4 linked regions of the Arabidopsis thaliana genome follow. The protein of the gene in region 3 purifies or fractionates together with the protein of the main gene of each other region. This does not show direct contact. Each region holds a gene or a part of one and is shown on either strand. Other genes may lie near its edges.

Evidence for each region.
Region 1: the proteins of DAYSLEEPER (region 3) and AT5G27120 fractionate together in Arabidopsis thaliana (co-fractionation; one large-scale study listed by BioGRID). This does not show direct contact.
Region 2: the proteins of DAYSLEEPER (region 3) and AT5G27140 fractionate together in Arabidopsis thaliana (co-fractionation; one large-scale study listed by BioGRID). This does not show direct contact.
Region 4: the proteins of DAYSLEEPER (region 3) and AT3G05060 fractionate together in Arabidopsis thaliana (co-fractionation; one large-scale study listed by BioGRID). This does not show direct contact.

The regions. Positions count from the first base shown.
Region 1 is NC_003076.8:9,539,025-9,544,572, reverse strand, and holds AT5G27120 (NOP56-like pre RNA processing ribonucleoprotein), read right to left. Parts: upstream 3,713-5,548; 5' UTR 3,594-3,712; intron 3,299-3,593; 5' UTR 3,287-3,298; coding exon 3,209-3,286; intron 3,109-3,208; coding exon 3,067-3,108; intron 2,978-3,066; coding exon 2,798-2,977; intron 2,722-2,797; coding exon 2,557-2,721; intron 2,363-2,556; coding exon 2,162-2,362; intron 2,075-2,161; coding exon 1,577-2,074; intron 1,477-1,576; coding exon 1,342-1,476; intron 1,192-1,341; coding exon 889-1,191; 3' UTR 508-888; downstream 1-507. Other genes in the region: AT5G27110 (Tetratricopeptide repeat (TPR)-like superfamily protein), read left to right, coding at 3,926-5,548. UniProt on the Arabidopsis thaliana protein: Required for 60S ribosomal subunit biogenesis.
Region 2 is NC_003076.8:9,546,599-9,550,892, reverse strand, and holds AT5G27140 (NOP56-like pre RNA processing ribonucleoprotein), read right to left. Parts: upstream 2,352-4,294; coding exon 2,274-2,351; intron 2,173-2,273; coding exon 2,128-2,172; intron 2,075-2,127; coding exon 1,982-2,074; intron 1,903-1,981; coding exon 1,738-1,902; intron 1,658-1,737; coding exon 1,457-1,657; intron 1,361-1,456; coding exon 863-1,360; intron 792-862; coding exon 519-791; downstream 1-518. Other genes in the region: AGL39 (AGAMOUS-like 39), read right to left, coding at 3,340-4,260. UniProt on the Arabidopsis thaliana protein: Required for 60S ribosomal subunit biogenesis.
Region 3 is NC_003074.8:14,319,116-14,324,571, reverse strand, and holds DAYSLEEPER (BED zinc finger and hAT dimerization domain-containing protein DAYSLEEPER), read right to left. Parts: upstream 3,630-5,456; 5' UTR 3,404-3,629; intron 2,738-3,403; 5' UTR 2,735-2,737; coding exon 644-2,734; 3' UTR 503-643; downstream 1-502. Other genes in the region: AT3G42180 (Exostosin family protein), read left to right, coding at 1-272.
Region 4 is NC_003074.8:1,412,340-1,417,952, forward strand, and holds AT3G05060 (NOP56-like pre RNA processing ribonucleoprotein), read right to left. Parts: upstream 3,718-5,613; 5' UTR 3,545-3,717; intron 3,250-3,544; 5' UTR 3,226-3,249; coding exon 3,145-3,225; intron 3,057-3,144; coding exon 3,015-3,056; intron 2,922-3,014; coding exon 2,742-2,921; intron 2,662-2,741; coding exon 2,497-2,661; intron 2,291-2,496; coding exon 2,090-2,290; intron 1,997-2,089; coding exon 1,499-1,996; intron 1,393-1,498; coding exon 1,258-1,392; intron 1,135-1,257; coding exon 835-1,134; 3' UTR 528-834; downstream 1-527. Other genes in the region: AT3G05070 (Cwf18 pre-mRNA splicing factor), read left to right, coding at 4,141-4,268, 4,566-4,698, 4,815-4,929, 5,136-5,194. UniProt on the Arabidopsis thaliana protein: Required for 60S ribosomal subunit biogenesis.

The sequences.
Region 1 (5,548 bases), on a different chromosome or scaffold from region 3:
CATTGTATTTTGTGAGGTTGTGATATTCGTCATTTGTGTAATTGTTGCAAATTTCAAAGACACGAAATATATTATTGGTATTGTTGTTTTGCGTGCAAGGCACGGGCTGCCTACTAGTTTACTTACAAATAAAAAGACTTTATAAATTAAAATCCAGTTCGATAGGTGTCTAGGCAGATTTTTTGAACATTACCTACAATGATTACATAAAACACTATAGATTAAACTTTTTCCACGGCAACTAAATTTAATTAAAAATAAAAAAAACTTTATGAATTAAAATCCAGTTAAATATTTTAAAACATATATGTTCAGTAGTAAATTTTGATATTGACGGAACCATTATCACGAAATATTCAGAAAGAATTTTGATTCATATTCATCACAAAATTTATAGCACAATAAAAATATATACACACACAAAGTAGGTAGACTCTAGATTTTATTTATCTTTTGAAATTTCTAAGGTCTGGTATGATTTGCCTTATGCTCAACCCAATCCATTTCCAATTGACTATTAAGGTACTTTTTAGACTCACAAATATTCATTTTGTACAAGGTTTTTTAAAATGTCAATGATACACTTGATGAAAAATGTCGACTCTTCGGACTGATCTTTACAAATTTATGAACTAATCAACTATGAGTAATTACGTTATACTAAGATTAGAAGGATTTAACGGTAAGGTCTTGACTCGTTTGGCAAAATGCAAGTTTCTGGGATAAGGACTAAACCAAACATATTATAACCTTACAAAACGAAGAGTAGTTCTTTTTTTTAAGTTTCAAACAAAACAAAAACCTTACTTAACACCTAACGCCACAAAAGATTTTCTTTGTTTCTGATAACAAAGTAAACTAGACCACGCAAAAATATTAAAGGTCTCTTCAGACCTCAGTTTTCTTCTTCTTCTTCTTCTCACTCTTTTCCTTCTTCTTAGCAGGCATTTCAGTTTCCTCTTCCTCGTGTTTTCTCTTCTTCTTCTTCTCCTTCTTTGCAGGCTCTTCGGCGGTTTCAGGTTCTGCTTCTGTCTTCTTCTTATTCGATTTCTTCTTTGAGGGCTCCTCAGTTTTGGCTTCTTCCTCATCATCAGCCTTCTTCTTCTTCTTTTTGTCTTTCTTCTCTTTCACACCGTTCTCTGAATCCACTGTGGGAGTTTGAAGAAGAGAGTCTGCAGCAGTGTTGTATGTCTGCAGAATACAACAACAACAACAACAACAAACAGCTTAATCCTTTAAGCAACATTACAGGTAATATATCCAAAACACAATTGCACAAATCCAGAATTCATAATTACAAAAGAAAGTTGAAGAAACAAACTAGCAGAGGAATAATCTGACCTTAGCAGGAGTGATCAGACCTCCGGATCCTTTCTTTTTATCTTTGTCATATACTTCAATCTTTGGTTTGCCTTTAGCTGAGCCAGATAGACGTCCTAAATCTTTTCCTTCGAGAGTTCTCAACCGTGCTTCAAGCTGTCAGAAGAAAATAGCCCGCATGGTAAACATCAATCAAGGTAGAGTATTTTTAGATCAGATCGAGAGGAAGATCGGAAAAAAAAAAATTGAAGGATACCTTTAAACGGTTTTCAACTCCCATAGTGTTGTCTTGGGAGTCACCAAGAGCATCACAACGGATAGCAAGAACAGATTTTGCAGCTAGTGACCGTGAAATTTTACCCTTGTTCTTCGGTGCAGCTTGGCCAACAACAGATGCATGGAAAATTAAACCATACTTTGGAGTAGCGTGTTTGGTCTTAAGGGCTCTAAATAAGGCTTTTTCAGCTCCAAGAATCTGAACCGTGCTTCCAGGTTGCTTTGCGAGGTTCAACAAACTACCACCGTGAGATATTAAGCGAGCACCGACTAGCTCCCCGACAAGGGCAGTTAGATTTGGTGCAATTGTGTTCATTCTGCTCTTCAAGTAGTCATAAAGCTGAGCTCTGTACTCGGCAAGAGAAAGAACCTGGTCACAGAGTTCTCGGATGTGCAATAAATCAAGGTCACTGACTTCAGTTCCCATAGATATCACAGCAGCCTCTTTCAGTTCTGCTTCAATTTCATCAGCCAATATCTGAGAGGAGGACACAGAAACAATGTTTCAAAAAAAAAAAAACTAGTGTTAAGCACAAGGAAGTCAAATACTCAAACAGGCCTTTACCTCAGAGAAGTCTAGCTTTGCAGCATTAATCCGATTCCCCATTAGTTTAACAGCCTTGGCATATAAGATATTGTCCTGTACGATCTTAGCAAGCTCAGGAAAATGCCAACCAAACCATTCACGAACCCTCATAGCGTAAGTGTTAAGCTCTTTGTCAAGATCATCAAGCAGACCAATAGCTTGGATTATCATGGTATCCACCTAACATACAAGTACAAGGTGAAGTAACATAAGGGTCAAACAAACACAGGATATATAGACAAACTCAATTGCAATTCAGACCTAATGTTGGAAGAGTAAAAAAAGGGATACCAAAAGTTCCATAATTTATCAAAAGTTGGCTAACTCAACAAATAATTCAGAGAACCAAAAACCAATACAAATCAAATGACTACCTTGTCGGAACTGAACTTTAGTTTATATCTGGCAAGGCTGTGAGACAACCCCAAGCTCATTGGACCTAGATCTTGATCACCCAATCCAGATATAAGTTCAGTTAGCTGGCTTCTGATACCTCTTAACAGCTCCATAACAGCATTGTTGTGAACACAGACTATTTTCTACACGAGTGAAGCAAAACCGTAAGAAACAACCCTTACTCAGAAATAAAAGAGCGTATCGGAACAAAATACACACCAGTTTCTCCTTGATGATATTTCCAAGCTTAGAATCAGCAACAGCTAATGTTTCACCAACACAGTTAGCTTTCAAAAACTTGCGTAGACCCTTGCTTGGAGTTCCCTCAAGCAATTTAGCCACTGCTTCAAGAGCTTCAGCTGTGTTGTCAAACTTGTCAAAAGCTACTAGCTTCACCATCTGTAACAACACACCAAAAATTGCTATGAGAAACAAATATTATTAGCCAGATACAAAATTTGAACTATGTCTAGAACAAAATAAATCACCTTTCGGGCTAACTTTGCGGTCGAGAACTCATTACCCAAATCCTACAATCACAAATTTGACATACTTAGAATTAAAAAACCAAACCACACACAGAAACAAGGTTAAGATAAATGAACAAAGGAGAATGATTTAGTTAGTAACCTCAACATTAGAGAGCTTTCCTTCGTTTAATACTTTGAAGATGGCAAAACCACCTGGCGTCTCAAACAGTATTAGCATTTTTACAAGCTCCTGAAAAGAAGAAAAAACAAGATTAAGAGAAACCCTTGAATCAACTCAAAGTCACCAAACTTGCAAGTTAGTGTTTTACGAGCTAAAGCCATTAAGCTAGTACGAAACAATATTCAAGGTAAAACTTTTTCCCTGTTTCGAAGTTTACAAATCAGAATAATAGTTAAGGCAGATACTCTGTTCAAATTCTTGAAAATCCGACAAAGAACAGAACTATACTTTGTCAAAGTCTTAGAATTTTGGAAGCTTATTTGCCATAACAACGAAGAAAGAGAGGGCGAGAGAGATTCAGTACCTTAGAGGGTTAACGCACAACTACAGCTTTAGAGAGAGCTAAAATCAGGAGCCGCGATTCTGCTAGGGTTTAAGATGGTTTTTATAGTTGTTGAAGAAGGTTCAGAGATTCTCAAAACGCTGCGTTTTTATTGCTAACGGCGCGTTTTTGTAACCTAGGGTTTTAAAACGCATCGCTAATTTAGAAAAATAAATCATTTTGGGCCTAATTAAGTTTGGCCCATTAGTATAAACGACGTCGTAGTTTGAATCATGTCTTTCCTTTATAATTTAGCTAAAGCAGCGACTGATCACATTTCAATCTCTCACGACAAAAAAAAATGTGAACTTGAAATGGAATCTTCAAAGTTGTTGTCTTTATTGCGAGAGTGTACCAATAGCACCAAGTCTCTAAGAAGAATCAAGCTTGTGCATCAGAGAATACTCACGTTGGGGTTACGAAGAGACGTAGTTTTATGCAAAAGTCTCATCAATGTCTACTTTACTTGTAAAGACCATTGCTCAGCGAGACACGTCTTCGAGAACTTCGATATACGATCGGATGTTTACATATGGAACTCTTTAATGTCTGGTTATTCAAAGAACTCAATGTTTCATGACACTCTTGAGGTTTTCAAGAGGTTGTTGAATTGCTCAATTTGTGTCCCTGATTCGTTTACTTTTCCGAATGTGATTAAGGCTTATGGTGCGTTGGGTAGAGAGTTTCTTGGTAGGATGATTCATACTCTTGTGGTGAAGAGTGGGTATGTTTGTGATGTGGTTGTGGCGAGTTCTTTGGTTGGTATGTATGCAAAGTTTAACTTGTTTGAGAATTCACTACAAGTGTTCGATGAAATGCCTGAGAGAGATGTAGCATCTTGGAACACGGTTATTTCGTGTTTTTATCAAAGTGGAGAGGCAGAGAAGGCTTTGGAGTTGTTTGGAAGAATGGAAAGTTCTGGCTTTGAACCAAATTCAGTTTCGTTGACGGTGGCTATATCGGCGTGTTCAAGGCTGTTGTGGTTGGAGAGAGGGAAGGAGATACATAGAAAATGTGTGAAGAAAGGGTTTGAGTTAGATGAGTATGTAAACTCTGCCCTTGTTGATATGTATGGGAAATGTGACTGCTTGGAGGTGGCTAGGGAGGTTTTTCAGAAAATGCCTAGAAAGAGTTTGGTTGCTTGGAATTCTATGATCAAAGGTTATGTCGCTAAAGGAGACAGTAAGTCATGTGTTGAGATTTTGAATAGAATGATCATAGAAGGAACTCGACCGAGTCAGACAACCTTGACCAGCATTTTGATGGCTTGCTCTCGCTCACGGAATCTCCTACATGGAAAATTTATACACGGTTATGTGATTAGAAGCGTTGTAAATGCAGATATCTATGTGAACTGTTCCTTGATTGATCTATACTTCAAGTGTGGTGAAGCAAATTTGGCTGAAACCGTCTTTTCAAAGACACAGAAGGACGTTGCTGAGTCATGGAATGTCATGATTTCTAGTTATATCAGTGTAGGTAATTGGTTTAAGGCTGTTGAAGTGTATGACCAAATGGTGAGTGTTGGAGTGAAGCCAGACGTGGTAACTTTCACAAGTGTTTTACCTGCTTGTTCGCAACTGGCTGCGTTAGAGAAAGGCAAACAGATTCATTTGTCCATTAGTGAGAGCAGGCTCGAAACAGACGAGTTGCTTTTGAGTGCGCTTCTTGACATGTATTCTAAATGCGGCAATGAAAAAGAGGCTTTTAGGATTTTCAACAGTATACCAAAGAAGGATGTTGTATCATGGACGGTAATGATCTCTGCGTATGGATCTCATGGTCAACCCAGAGAAGCACTTTACCAGTTTGATGAAATGCAGAAGTTTGGTCTAAAACCTGATGGGGTTACTCTTCTTGCTGTATTGTCAGCTTGTGGTCATGCTGGGCTAATTGATGAGGGTCTCAAATTTTTCAGTCAAATGAGATCAAAGTAC
Region 2 (4,294 bases), on a different chromosome or scaffold from region 3:
TATATATAACTAAAATAAAATTTCTTTGAGGCCCCTTTAGAATGGGGGCCACTGTAATGTTTCATGTTCATGTGTTATGGTCCGGCTCTTAGTAGCATCGCAATTTCAATAGGTTCGATTGAGTGATTCAAAGGTTATGGAATTCAAAGCCACATAACCTTTTTACAAATTTGATTTTGTTTTTGATCCACTTTTCTCTTTCATTTATTTATGGAATTGGATTTTTTTTTTATCCAACTCTTATGGATGTTTAGCTTGTGAATTAATCATGTTTAAATCCACTTGTAAATCAAGTCTAAAGCGACAGAACCTTGATGTTTACGTTCTTGTGAACATATTTGTTGGTCTTAACCACATCTTTAACTGATTATTTTTTTTGTCAAGTCTACCGAACCAAATGACAAGGGAAACCGTTTTTGAATTGAATGACTTTGAAAGAGTATCAACATGATCCTAACAAAACGTCAAGAAACTAGACGTGTTACTCACGCATAATTTTGTATATCTGAGCTAATGGCTTACCATAGCAACTGGTTAACAGAAAAGAAATAGATTAGAGAAATTAAAAGCATCAGGAGTAATAATCCTGTTACACCCTCTTGTTTGCTCTTCTTTGCGGGATCTTCCACGGTTTCAAGTTCTGCTTCTTTCTTCCTCTTCTTCGAACACTCCTCAGTTTTGGGTTCTTCCTCATCATCAGCCTCCTTCTTTGTATCTTTGTCATTAACTTCTTCTTCTTCTTCGCATGCTCCTAAATCTCCTCCTTCAAGATTTCTCAAGCGCGCTTCAAGCTGTCGAAAAAAATTAGACCATCAAAGAAGGAAGAAAAATGTAGATAGGATCGGGCGGGAGAGAAGAATACCTTTAAGCGGCTTTCGACTCCCATAGTGTTGTCTTGGCCATTACCAAAAGCATCACACCGGATAGCAAGAGCAGATTTTGCAGCTAGTGAACGTGCGATTTTACCCTTGTTCTCTGGTGCAGCTTGCCTAACCAAAGGTGCGTGGTAGATTAAACCATACTTTGGAGTGGCTTGTTTGGTCTTAAGGGCTTTATATAGGGTCTTTTCAGCTCCAAGAATCTGAATTGTGCTCCATGGTAGCTTTGAGAGGTTCCATAAACTACCACAATGAGATATTAAGCGAGCACCGACTAGCTCCCCGACAAGGGCAGTTAGATTTGGTGCAATTTTGTTCATTTTGTTCTTCAAGTCGTCACAAAGCAGAGTTTTGTCCTCAGCGATTGAAAGAACTTGGTCACAGAGTTCTTGGATGTGCATCAAATCAAGGTCACTGACTTCAGTTCTCGTAGACACCATAGAAGCCTCTTTTAGTTCTGCTTCAACTTCATCAGCCAATATCTGAGATGACATTGGACACAGAAAGATGTTTCATAAAGACAAAACTATAGTTTAATGGAAACAAAAAGTCAAGGAGAATGGTAAATAAGGCTTTACCTCAGAGAAGTCTAGCGTTGCAGCATTAATCCGATTCCCCATTAGTTTAACCACCTTGGCATATAAGATATTGTCCTGTACAATATTAGCAAGCTCGGGAAAATGCAAACCGTACAATTCACAAACGCTCGTAGTGTAAGTGTTAAGCTCTTTGTCAAGATCATCAAGCAGACTGATAGATAGGATTATCATGGTCTCCACCTAACAAAACATTTTAAGTATGAGAGGGGAAAAGTAACATAAGCAAGGGTAAAACAAAACACAGAGAACTCAATGACTACCTTGTCAGAGGTGATTTTTAGTTTATATCTAGCAAGGATGTGAGACAATTCCAAGCTCACTGGAGCTAAATCATTATCATCCAATCCGGATAAAAGTTCGGTTAACTGACTTCTCACACCTCGTAACAGCTCCATAACAGCATCGTTGTGAACACATTCTATGTCCTAGAGGAGAGAAGCAAATCCGTAAGACACAAGCCATATATATACAGAAATATGTAAAAGATCATAACAAAATACACACCAGTTTCTCTGTGATGATATCTCCAAGCTTTGGATCAGCCACAGCTAAGATTTCACCATCATCACAGTTATTTTTCAAAAACTTGTGTAGACCCTTGCTTGGAGTTCAGATGTGTTGTCAAACTTATGAAAAGCTTTTAGCTTAACCATCCTTCGAGCTGACTCTGCAGAGTAGAACTCAGTACCCAAATCCTACAAGAACAAATTTGACATACTTAGAATATTAAAAACAAACGACACATATAGACAAGGTTAAGATCAATGAAAGTAAGAGAATGAATAAGGTAAATAACCTCAACATTAGAGAGCTTTCCTTCATCTAATACTTTAAAGAGTGCAAAACCACCTGACGTCTCAAACAGTACGAGCATCTTTAAGATTACGAGAAACCCTTTAATCAACTCAACATCTCAAAGTCAGAACTATACTTAGTCAAAAACTAATACTTGGAAGCCACGTTCCACTGACAACGGAGAAAGATTCAATAAATACCTAAGAGGATTTAAGCAAAGCTGCTGCGTTAGAGAAAGAAAAAAAGAGGAGCAACGAATTTGCTATAAGGGTTCGAGATTCTTAATCGACGATCTATATATATAAGAAAATAAATATATGATTTTCTATTAAAAAGTTACGGAAAAAAAACATGTGAAAATATAATTTTCACAAAAAACTAAAAAAAAACCTTTAAAAAAAAAACTATTCTTATTTTCTTAAAATGGTATATTTCTAAAAAGAATTATACAATTAATTTTTAAAGATGTCAAAATAACCGACCTTACTTCTAAGGGAAAAGATTATCAAAAACAAAGTTTATTTATTCTCTATCAAAAACAGAGTTTGATCTGCTAATTTTAATATACAAATTGTAAAATATATGATTACCTTAAAGAAACTATAAAATTAATTACTAATTCGAAAAATGATTATAGTTACTTTTTTAATAAAATGTTGGTATAAATATGTTCATCTAATCTACGTTACATACATAATCTTAAATTAATCTCAAGTACTCTGTTCAAAGTTCAAACACATCACCTAACAAGATGACCATTAAGGAATCAAAAAGTGTTCAGCTAAAGGCTAAAACTCATGTAAAATTACAAGCAAAAGCTCCAAAAACTGTGTTCTTCTTTTCTGAGAATCCAAATTCAAATCACTAACTTGAATTTAACATCAACAAACTAGTAAGTGGAATTGCAAAACTGATTCAAACAATTTACTTTCAACTTCGAAAGGGTTCACATCAGAGTATCAAACAATAAAGGAAAAAAGGTTTACAAAAACTTAAATTGGATCAAGAATCTCTGTTTACAATGAGACAAAATCAGAACAAGTTCTGAAGATTACAACCACATCATATCAGACATGACGTCTAAAGTCGGAATCTCCGAAGTTGATCATTGCATTGGTGTTATCGAGACCGAAGTAGCTGTTTAGACCAAACACATCATCGTTGGATAGATCATTCCAAAAGCAGATCTCATCATCCAAATTGACATTGGCCTCTGTTTGTGTTTCTTGTAGTAGTAGATTGATTTGGTTAATCTCTTCCTCTGTTTCAAATCCTTGGATCTCGGAGCTAGGGTTTTGATCAAAAGAAGCAACTTGTGAAGATGATTCTCCACAGATCTGATAGAGAGAGGAGTAACAGTCCTGATCAAAAGACGGAGACGAGAGGTTAGGGTTTTGATCGCCATGGAAAGAAGAAAAGGTTTGATCGCTGCAATACTCGTTGACAGAGTTTGGAGTAAAAGTAGAAGCAATTTGCGAATAAGAAGATCCATCACAATCCTCGACGTCGAGAGAACAAGTACTATTAGGGTTTTGGTCGAAACTAGAAACAAGTTGAGATTTTTCTTCCTTCTCAAGGCAAGCCATCACATGCTTCTTCATTCTCTGTAAACGATCCTCGATAATGCTTAACTCAGAGAGATCATCACACGAATGGTAGAGATCAGGGTCTTCCCACCAAAATCCTAGTTTGGATCCGGCCGGGTTAACAATCTTGGGTGGAGGCTTGCGATTTAGGTAACAATCAGCGATTTCGTAGGCAGAGGAGTAACCGGAGAAGGAATAGACAACATCGGAACTATCGGAGGGAGAGGTTACGAAGACGGCGATGTTAGCACCGGAGATAAGACAGAGATCGGCGGCTTTGGAAAAAACAGTTTGACGGCGTTTAGAGCAAGTCACGGCTCGTTGCTCTTTGGTTTCTCGTTTCTTTATTTCGATTTTGCGCTTTGTTCCTTTCTTCATCATCGTGGAATCAGATGAAGGCATAATGTTTCTTACGGAGAGACAAATAGACACAGAG
Region 3 (5,456 bases):
TCCCGGTTGTCATATCGGACAACTACTCGCTTCCGTTCAACGACGTGCTTGATTGGAGCAAGTTCTCGGTTGAGATCCCGGTCGACAAAATTCCTGATATTAAGAAGATTTTGCAAGAGATTCCACATGACAAATATTTAAGGATGTATCGAAATGTTATGAAAGTTAGAAGGCATTTTGTGGTGAACCGTCCGGCTCAACCATTTGATGTGATCCACATGATTCTTCACTCGGTTTGGTTAAGGAGGCTTAACATTAGGTTGCCTTCTTGATAGTATACTATAGTCATTGCATTACAATACCTTTTGTTCTTATATTTCTTTCAAGAGTTGTTTTAAAAAATCTCCATGTACCAAAACAGTTGTCTAGAGCTTTAATTACTCATATACGTTGTAAAAATTGTTAGAATAAAGACTTTCAGTTTTGGAATTGAAAGATAGGATTCAACGAGGCTTTTAGTTCAGTTGAAGATGTGCTATAGAGTTCATCTAAGAAGGAGCATTTTAAAATGTGCAGTAGATATCTTAAAGAGGGAAGCTCCTAATAGCAAATCACACGGTGGGTTTAAGACTAACCACAAAAGACAACATACATAAACTTCTAGAAAACAACAACATTTAGAGATAATGAAGCAAAGTCTCACCTATGCTTCAGATTTGATGGTAGCACTTGCATTTTGCGCAGCTGCGGAAGAAGAAGCATTACTCTCAAGAAGCCATTCCCTTGCGCAAATCAGAGCCTCCACTGTCTCGGGCCTCAGTGACGTCTTGTACTCATCCATTTCCCTCGGTTCCATGTCAAAGACATAGTCAAAGGCTGCAGCTGAAACCGGGATTGAAAGGATGTCTCTAGCCATCTTTGACAAGGTCGGGTACTTGAGCTTGTTCTGTTTCCACCAGTCAAGAACATCAAACTCCTGAACCCTGGGAAGCAGGGTTTCATCAAGGTACTGGTCCAGCTCTGATTTCAGATTCTGCCCCGTTGTCTCCATTATGTACGTGTCAAAATCCGACAGTCCATCTGCTTTCCCACCTTCAGATGTCGTGTTTTGGGGCGACGGGAGCGCCATGTATTCGGTGAAGAGCTCGTGGATCCCATCATCCACAGTCTTGATGTTCTTCCCAGCATCTTCTCCAAATATCTTGGAGAAACTGAACTCGACAAGCTTCATCTTGAACCGAGGATCCATCACCACGGCCATTGCCAAAACCAAGCTACAGTCTCTCCAGTACTTGTCTACCTTCTCTTGCATGGTTTTAGCAATACCTGTGACAAAAGGATCCTCTCCAGCTATCGCCCGAGACAAATCTGACTGTGTCTTCCACACTTCATGGAAGAAGGTAACAGCAGATGGGTTTCCAGTAGATTGAAGAGTGGAGACTGCTTCGAAAAGAGGCTTCAGGAATGTGCAAAGTGCCTCCACATGCCTCCAATCCTCTGCTGAAGGAGGTTTCTTGTAGTCAGGATCAGCAGTGTCTAAGCACGAGAACACTTCCTTTAATTCTGAAGCAGCCACAAGCATCATATATGTTGTGTTCCATTGCGTCTGATCATCAAGAGAAAGCACCTTCTCGCTTGGAACTTGAAGCTGTTCCTTGAGCTCAGTAAACCTCTCCTCATGGGACTCTGACGTTTTCACATGCTTCACACTGTCCCGGATGTTCTTGATCACATCTTTCCCTTTCTCCAGGACATCTTTAGCGAGGCTACCAAATGTTCGGGCAACACAATTCCCTATTACCAACTGACCATCCAGAATCCCAGGGTTCTTGATGCAGAGTTGAGGTCTGATGTTTTCAACCGCAGAGTTACTCGCCGGGTGGTTAAAGGTGACGTTAAACAACTTTCCCTCCAGACCCCATTCAGAAACACAATTTGCAACCGCGAGACTCAAGGCTTCGTCAGCTTCTGGATACGATTCCATCAAAACATTGAGAAGCTTCTTTTGTATCTTCCAATCGCTGTCAATGTAGTGAGCAGTTATAAACACATACCCAAGAGTTAGCTTGGAGGTCCAAAAGTCGAGCGTTAGACAGAAGCGTCCAGGAATCCCTTCTAAAGACTTCATGACATTCTGCTTTTCAGCAAGGTAAGTCGCCACACAGTCTCCTTGAACATTGTTAAAGCTCACAGCATCAAAGTGAGGCTGAATACTCTGCACGAACGAGACAAAACCTGGATGCTGAACCATGTGAAGAGGGTAGTCATGCATAATGATCATCTTAGCTATCTCTTGACGACACTTGTCCTGATTAAACGCAACATAGGGACTAGCGTTGTTCTGAGACCGGTAACGCCTTCTCGGAGTGTCAGTCTTGGGAGTGTAAGGAGTAGACATCAGTGGGTTGTTGTCATTGTCATGCGTATGGATAAGTGCAGGACATGTCCCCTTAAAAATGTGACGCTTAAGATGGCTAGTACCAGCCACTTTGTTACCGTTGCTGTAAGCAAAACTCTGATTACATCCTTTGCAAAAAGCTCTTCTGCAGTTCGGTTCTACCGCCTCGATTGTGAAATGTTCCCACACCATCGACTTCTTCTTGCGTCGCTTGATCGGTTGGGTCTCTGGTGAAACCATTTCAGTGTCATTGTACACTTCCAAAGCTGTTTCCTCTATTGGTTGTGTCTCTGGTGACCTTATTTCAGCAGTATCATTGTACACTTCCAAAGCTGTTTCCTTGATTGGTTGTGTCTCTGGTGACCTCATTTCAGTATCGTCATTGTACACTTCCATCTTCTTTGCAACATAACATAAAAAGGAAAATAACTGTTACCCAAACAAAGCCCACTATAATAATAACAATGATTAAACATTGGGCCTATTCCAAAAGGCCATGACCAACGGTAAATAATAAGATTGGTATAAGGGCAAAATCGGTATTTGACAACATCGCGTAGATCCAACAACTTAAAAAGAGAGAGAGAAAAAAAACAGATCTGAAGTTTTAAAAGGTCCTAAGAGTCGATCAAACATGGGCTGCAAATCAAAAACTAGAGCCCAGATTATAAAGTCTTCAACATAACGAAACTGATTCAAACAAAACACAGAAGTTTATAAGATCGGGCTTTTTTCTTTAAATCACACACACACACAAACACAAACAACAATTTCAAGTTTTTTTTTCAAAATTAATTTGCCTCCATGAGTTAAACCAAAACATTTGAACTTGGCTCCTAAACGACCTTAAGAACTTTATCAACCCAGTAAAATTGTCCTATGAGTTGAATTATTTCAGAATTAGCAGATCCAGTATGGTAATTGCATAAAGTAAATGAACCAAACGTATTTTCGCAGAGTAGACCAAAAGCTAACAATTTAACAAACAATCGAGGCAAAACTCTAAAATCCCCAATTAGATCCAGGCGAAATTAGATCCAGAGTTTAGGGTTTCGTGAAAAATACCTGCGAGGGAGAAATTGAAGCTCTGCGTTGTGAAGTAGAGAAGACGGAATGAAAATCGCCGGTTAGATGCGGTGGTGACGGAGGAATCGAGCCGATCTCCGGCGAGTAGATTGAGAAAGCGAGAAAGAGAGAAAGAGAGAGAGAGATTTGGGCTTCAGAGGCTAATTGGACCTTTGGATGAAAAGCAGACAAGGCAAAGAGATAAGTTTATGTTATTATCTTTAATCGAATAAGGATGCGTCTAAATAAGGGGTTAGGTCGAAATACTACTGAGAATGTTTGGGCCGGTTATTGGGCTTTTAAAGACGGCCCAGGAGTTTGTAAACAAAACCCTTTGCTTGATTAAGATCACGCGCTTTATTTTTACACGTGGCTAAGTGATTTGTTTTCTAGATCTACAATATTATAACATACGTACAGCGCGAAGCTATAATATTTTTTAAAAAATTAAAAAGAAATAATTTATTTAATAGATTAAATCTTTTTATATATTTTCCAAATGGACAACTCTTATATCTATAAATATTTAGTATACAATTACTATGTTTGATTTTTACTGATTAAAAATATAGAAACACTAACATATAGTTCATTAAGTTAAGATCTAAATTATAACTATATAATTTAAATTTAAATTATATTTGTTTTATTAATATTATTTGTTTTGCTTAGTGTTTAAGATAATATAATTGTATTTTGACTGTTATATCTAGGATTTCACCCGTAGTATACCGTCTCGTATTATTATCGACCCAAAACTGTCATACTATCTAATCATGTTCAGTGAAATTAAATATATTTAATGTACTTTACCCGTAATATATCGTCTCGTATTACTATCGACTAAACCCGTCCTACCATCTAACTCTGTTCAGTGAAATTAAACATTATTTTGTTATTTTGTTTAATAATACGTTGATTTAAAAGATATATAATTCAAATCAATTTAAAAGTTTTCTTTCAAATAGTTATTTAATTGTTGTAAAGTTCATATATTATAACATTATAAACCCGTTCTACCATCTAATCATGTTCGGTAAAATTAAACATTATTGTTTTTTATTTTTTTTTAATAATACTTTTATTCAAAGATTTATAATTCAAATCAAAGTTTTCTTTCAAATGATTATTTAGTTTATAAAGATTTCACATATTATAAATATTCTAAAAGTTTTTCCGTTAAATATTCTAACCGTTTAATAAACTTTCAATAACTAAAATATTTATCTTTTAATAAAATATAATATTAACAATGTCCTAAGATTTCTCCTTTTTGTAAGTAATTAGAATTGATGAAAATATATTAGATAAGAAAATGCTGACAATTAGAAATATTAATTAAAGTGCATGCAAAATTACCCTAAAATTACGTACGCAACTTTACTTGCATAGGGTATCTATAAATATCCGGTAAAGTCCCGACTAACCAAAGGGTTAAATGGCGAGCTGATTCTGGCCTTTCTCATAGTGCATCAGCTAATGTAAACCAACTATACTTTTAAACATCTCTCTATATATGTATATATATGTTTTCCGAAATGGAACCTTATTTCATAAGTTTTGGCAATATGTTATCTCTTATAGACTGAACAAATTTATGGGTGTTTTTGATTTCCTAGGTGAATTTGATTAGAGGATATTATGATGCTGGTGACAACGTAAAATTTGTTTGACTAATGTCATTTACCACAACCTTGTTGAGTTGGGCTGCACTTGAATATCAAAATGAGATTACTTCCGTTAAACAGATTGGTTACCTCCTGATTCAAGAATGGAGCTAATCCATCTTTTGATCACTTGATGATCAGTGTTCCAAACTTGCCACGCGGAAGGTGGGATGATGAAGGTGGTGATAAAACTATTTGCTTCTAAAGCCGTCCACGTCGGATTTTAAACGACCAGTCAGGAGCTGCCACATTAATAATTAACATATTTAGCATCTAATTAACTAACATTTTTAAAAATAGTAATTACTTCCTTAAAATTTAAAATAAAAAAGTGAACTAACAAATATTAAATTTAAACTTATAAATAAGGAAACTATATAAATATA
Region 4 (5,613 bases), about 13 Mb from region 3:
ACCTAATTTTGGAATTTATTATTAAAATAAACACTAAGAGTTTTTTTTAATATTAAAATAGGAATTGGAAAAACAAATAAAATAAGAAATATGGTATGTAATGAGAGTTTACTTCATCTATCCAATCAAAGAAGCTCCTTTATCAAGACTCTATTGTAAACCAAACAAGGAACAAAAGCTTAAGGAACTAATGATTTACGTCTGTCCTTTAGAATTAGCCATTTTATTTCTTTTATGACTTAAAGCTACATATATTATCTATTTATTCATTCATTCCCAGCATTATTGCTAACTACTATGTATTCTTGTAGACGATATACTAATTTTATTGACCTCATTAATTTGATTAAAATCTTGCCAGACAATAACCAAAGATAAACATGCATAGTCAACAAAGAGAAATACGATCATGAAAAAGATACTAACGCCTGTAAAAAATCTTTAAAATCAAAACAAAATCAAAGAGTATTTTATTTGGTGAATCTACAGACACGTTTAGTAGCAAAAAACTATTTGATTTTTTCAGAATATATTATTTTTCTTCAATTCTTTCCTCTTCCAGATATATATAAATCATGCAAGAAGAATATTGTACAACTACAAACTATAAATTGAAAAAAGAGTTCCAAAATTAATAATCTAGAGTCTGGAAGGCTAGAACAAAAATAAAGTTCGGGTGAAAAGGATTTAAATATGAATCCATCATTCAAAATGACGATTTCAGAAAATTTAAGTTTCATCTTAAAACACCTATTCCTCTAGATAAAATGCAATTCAACAAAAACAGTTATTAATCTTACACTCAAGAGATTTCTCAAAATCGGTTTCTCTCCCTCAGTCCTTACTCTTCTTTTTCTTCTCTTTCTTATCCTTCTTCTTGGCTGGTGTCTCCGTTGTTTCTTCTTCCTCATGCTTTCTCTTCTTCTTATTCTTCTTCTTCTCCTCCTTTGCAACCTCTACTACGGCTTCAGTTTCTGCTTCAGCTTTCTTCTTCTTCTTTTTCTCTGATGGCTCTTCCTCTTCGGGTTTCTCTTCTTCTACCTTCTTCTTCTTTTTCTTATCTTTCTTCTTTGATGGCTCCTCAGATTTAGCTGAGGTTTCCCCAAGAAGAGAATCTGCAGCAGTGTTGTAAGTCTGCACATAACAAAAAACAGTCAAGATCACTTCATCATAATCCCAAGAACAAAGACAATATGTACACACATCCAAAATTAGAAGAAAAGATGATGAATCAAAAACAGAGAGAATGATCGTGACCTTAGCAGGAGTGATAAGACCGCCTGATCCCATCTTTTTATCCTTGTTATAGACTTCAATCTTAGGTTTGCCTTTAGATGAACCAGACAGACGACCTAAATCTTTTCCTTCAAGATTTCTCAACCGCGCTTCAAGCTGTGAGTTTTTAACACATATCAGAAACATCATCAGTTAAGAAGGAGGAAAAAAGATTGTTCAGAGAGATACCAACAAGAGGAAAGCTATTGAAGAATTTTGTTACCTTAGCTCGGTTTTCAAGGCCCATAGTGTTATCTTGGCTATCACCAAGAGCATCAACCCTAATAGCAAGAACAGTTTTAGCAGCTAAAGACCGCGAGATCTTTCCCTTGTGCTTTGGTGCTGCTTGACCAACCAGAGATGCGTGAAAAATCAAACCGTACTTGGGTGTGGCGTGTTTTGTCTTAAGAGCTCTAAAGAGAGCTTTTTCGGCTCCGAGTATCTGAACCGTGCTCCCAGGTTGCTTGGAGAGGTTCAATAAACTACCTCCATGGGAAATAAGACGAGCACCAACAAGCTCTCCTACCAGGGCAGTCAGATTGGGAGCAATAGTGTTCATTCTGCTCTTTAGGTAATCGTAAAGCTGAGCTCTGTACTCAGAAAGAGAGAGAACCTGGTCACAGAGTTCACGGATGTGCAACAAGTCTAAGTCACTGACTTCTGTTCCCATGGATATCACAGCTGCGTCCTTAAGATCTGCCTCAATTTCATCTGCTAAGATCTACAATGAAACCAGAAACAGGAGAATATTAGGTCGTTAATCAAGGCGTTTGTTCATGGAAGCCTCTACACAGTTTACAAAATTGAAAGTTACCTCGGAGAAGTCTAGCTTAGCAGCATTAACTCGGTTTCCCATCAATTTAACAGATTTGGCATATAGGATATTGTCTGATATGATCTTAGCAAGCTCGGGAAAATGCCATCCATACCATTCTCTAACCCTCATGGCGTATGTGTTCAGCTCTTTGTCAAGATCATCAAGCAGACCAATAGCTTGGATAATCATGGTATCCACCTGACAAAAACTAAACAGTTAGGAGATGCAAGAGAAGCAAAAACAAACACAGGAAACGTTTAATGTCGGACAATCAAAGGCTAGTTCAATACAGAAGTTCCATAATTTAACACAAGTTAGCTTCGATCAATTAACAAATTCATATACTTCACATATCATATCACCAAATAAAAAGACCAATACAATTAGTCAGGAACCGAAGATACCTTGTCAGAACTAAACTTTAGCTTATATCTGGCGAGACTGTGAGACAGACCCAAGCTCATAGGAGCCAAGTCTTGATCACCCAACCCAGATATGAGTTCAGTAAACTGACTTCTAACACCACGTAGAAGCTCCATAACAGCATTGTTGTGAATGCAATCAATTTTCTGTATGAAATTAAGAACTTTCATTAGAAACAAAACACAGAGCAGACAGGAATATGGGTGTAATGATGGGAATTACAAACCAGTTTCTCCTTGATAACATTCCCAAGCTTTGAATCAGCCACAGCCAAGGTTTCACCTTGACAATTAGCTTTCAAAAACTTGCGCAGACCTTTGCTTGGAGCTCCCTCCAGCAATTTAGCCACAGCTTCGAGAGCTTCAGATGTATTGTCAAACTTCTCAAAAGCTTTTAGCTTAACCATCTGGTACACCAATAAAAACATATGAGAAACTCAACACTAAATCTAATTTTAGATGTTCTGAAACCACACTTGATGAAGAAGCAAAAAAATTACCTTTCGTGCTGAGTCTGGAGTGTCGAACTCTTTACACAAATCCTGCAAAAAAAAATAAAAAATAATCCATGAATACTTTTAGAGCCTTAAGGATAAGCAAAGAGAGTACAAAAGAATGAAGAGAACTCACCTCGACGTTAGCCATCTTTCCTTCATCTTTAACTTTAAAGAGGGCAAACCCCGCCGCTGTCTCGTATAGCACTAAGACCATCTTCACAAAACTCTTAAGCTGGACCTGAAGAGAAAATTAAGACAACACTTAACTCAGAACAGTAAAGATACGTGTCCGAGTCACACTAATTAAACTAAAAGTTCGTTTTGAGATTAAAAACTAGCGAGAAACAGCATTCCATATAAACCCTAATCCTACTTTTAGATCACATAAGAAATACAGGAGAAGAAAAAACAGAGAGATAAACTACAATAGCCTTAAAACTCTGTCCGAGTATGAGTATTCGAAACTCCACAATCTCCAGCAAGAATGGAAAAGTGAAACACCGTGAAGAGAGAAGATGAGAGATATTAAATACCTGAAGAGTTAATCAAAGCAGCTGCGTGAGAGAGAGGAAGAAGATGAAGACGGAGACGGACAATCACTTAGGGTTTTAAGAGTGTGTTGTTATAGCAGTTAAAGACGAGCCGAGCCTTCTTAAAACGCCGCGTATTGTAAGGGGTATTTCTATAACTTCCATAGTTAGGGTTTAGGTTTTAAGATTAATGGGCCTGACTGAATGGATATTTTAATCTGGCCCGTTTATAATATTAATACGTGGGCGTTTTATTGTTCTCTTCCCCCTTAATAGTTTTTCTTTTTTAATCCCTTTGTTTCTCTGTGGTATTCAACAAATTTGTCTCGAATTTATAGAGCTCGAAGCTTCAAGGTACGGTTTCAAATTTTCTCGTTGATTTTCTGGGTAGATAGCGTTTTCCATACTTCTCTTCAACTTTATTTCATAGTATAGCTCTGATTTTGCTAAAACTTCATCTGATTAGTTCCGTGGATCCTGAAAATCACGATTTTGCGTGTTGTTTAGGGTTATACTCTGTAGTTGTGTGATTAGTGTTTGAAGAAGCTGGGCTAGTGTTCGATGTTTACGTCGATAACCTAATTTTGCAGGAAGTTATAATGGCTAGTGAAGATGAATCGATTGAACAAAAAGCTGCTGCTCGTAAAGAGGCACTTAAAGCTCTAAGGGCAGCTCAGGAACTGTCTGAGACCAAGGAAGACGGAGAGGATGAAGCTGTCGAAGAAGAGTGAGTTTGCTTTGTTCTTTGCTTATTTTGTTTGTCTTGACTAGCACATGGAGTTGTTAATGTTGTGTGTTGGCTTTAGCATAACTAGGAGCTTCTCTTGTGCTTTGCTTCTCGCCTTTACTATCACTGTTTGTGAGAGAATCAATAATGGTGCTCTTGCAGCATCTGTTACCTAACAATTTTTTCCAATTTCAAGTTGCATTGTTGTGTATACTTTGCTTAGGTGGTTGGTTTTGTTGATTGATTATTCGAGGTAGATTCCCTTTTTATTCATATGAATTGTCTTTGATTTTACAGTGGTCCAGCCATGAAGTTTAGAAACTATGTTCCCCAAGCTAAGGAGCTTCAGGATGGTAAACTAGCGCCACCAGAGCTACCCAAATTCGAAGATCCGATCGTTGCACTTCCACCTGCTGTAGAGAAGAAAGAGGTGTGTGTGACAGTTTTTCTTTTCTCTGTACAAGGATCACCAAAAGCGACTCTGTTTAGCATTGTTGTTTCCTTTACTTGTGCCTCTTAAGCTTACAAAAAATGTTATCATTGTAGGACCCATTTGTTAACATCGCTCCAAAGAAGCCAAACTGGGACCTCCGAAGAGATGTGCAGAAGAAGCTTGATAAGCTCGAAAGGCGGACTCAAAAGGCAATGCATAAACTCATGGGTAAGTGGCAACTGTATCTACATACTGATATCTTCTATGTAAGCTTGATAATTAAGACATTAGTCTGTGGTTCGTGAGTAAGTGAGTAACATTTCACTGAATCTGTTGGTAGTATGATACCAAATCATAGAAGTCCAAAATAGAGTGATCTGTTGGTGTTTGTTTATTATGGAACTAACACATGCACTTTCATCATCTAATTGCAGAGGAGCAAGAGAAAGAACGTGAGATGGCTGAAGCTGATGGTAACACCATAGAAAGTTGAAACCCAACGACGTCATCAAAGAAAGCCACCACTGAACAGTATATTCTACTCGATTTTGTTTAACTGTTAAAGCATTCGAAGTGAGTAGACCATGTAAAATCCTACAGCCATTGGCATAGACATAGTAGGTTTATCTTCTTGTGTGAATCAAAGAAAGTCGCAATTTATTTCCGAGTAGAATTAAGTGCGGTCCGGTTTTTCTCTAAATTTGGTTCAACATCGGTGGTAATCTAGTTTGATCATTAATGGAACTGCGTTTTTTGGTTTGATTCGATTTACTGTGGTTTGATAAAGACATCCCAAACTAGAAACCAAAGTTTTGATTCGGGCTAGACGGGTTTAGTTTGGAGTCTGGGAAAACAACACAGAGAGCTTCTAAGACCTTTCTTCTCGGCATGTTGCTTCCACAGTGGGATGAT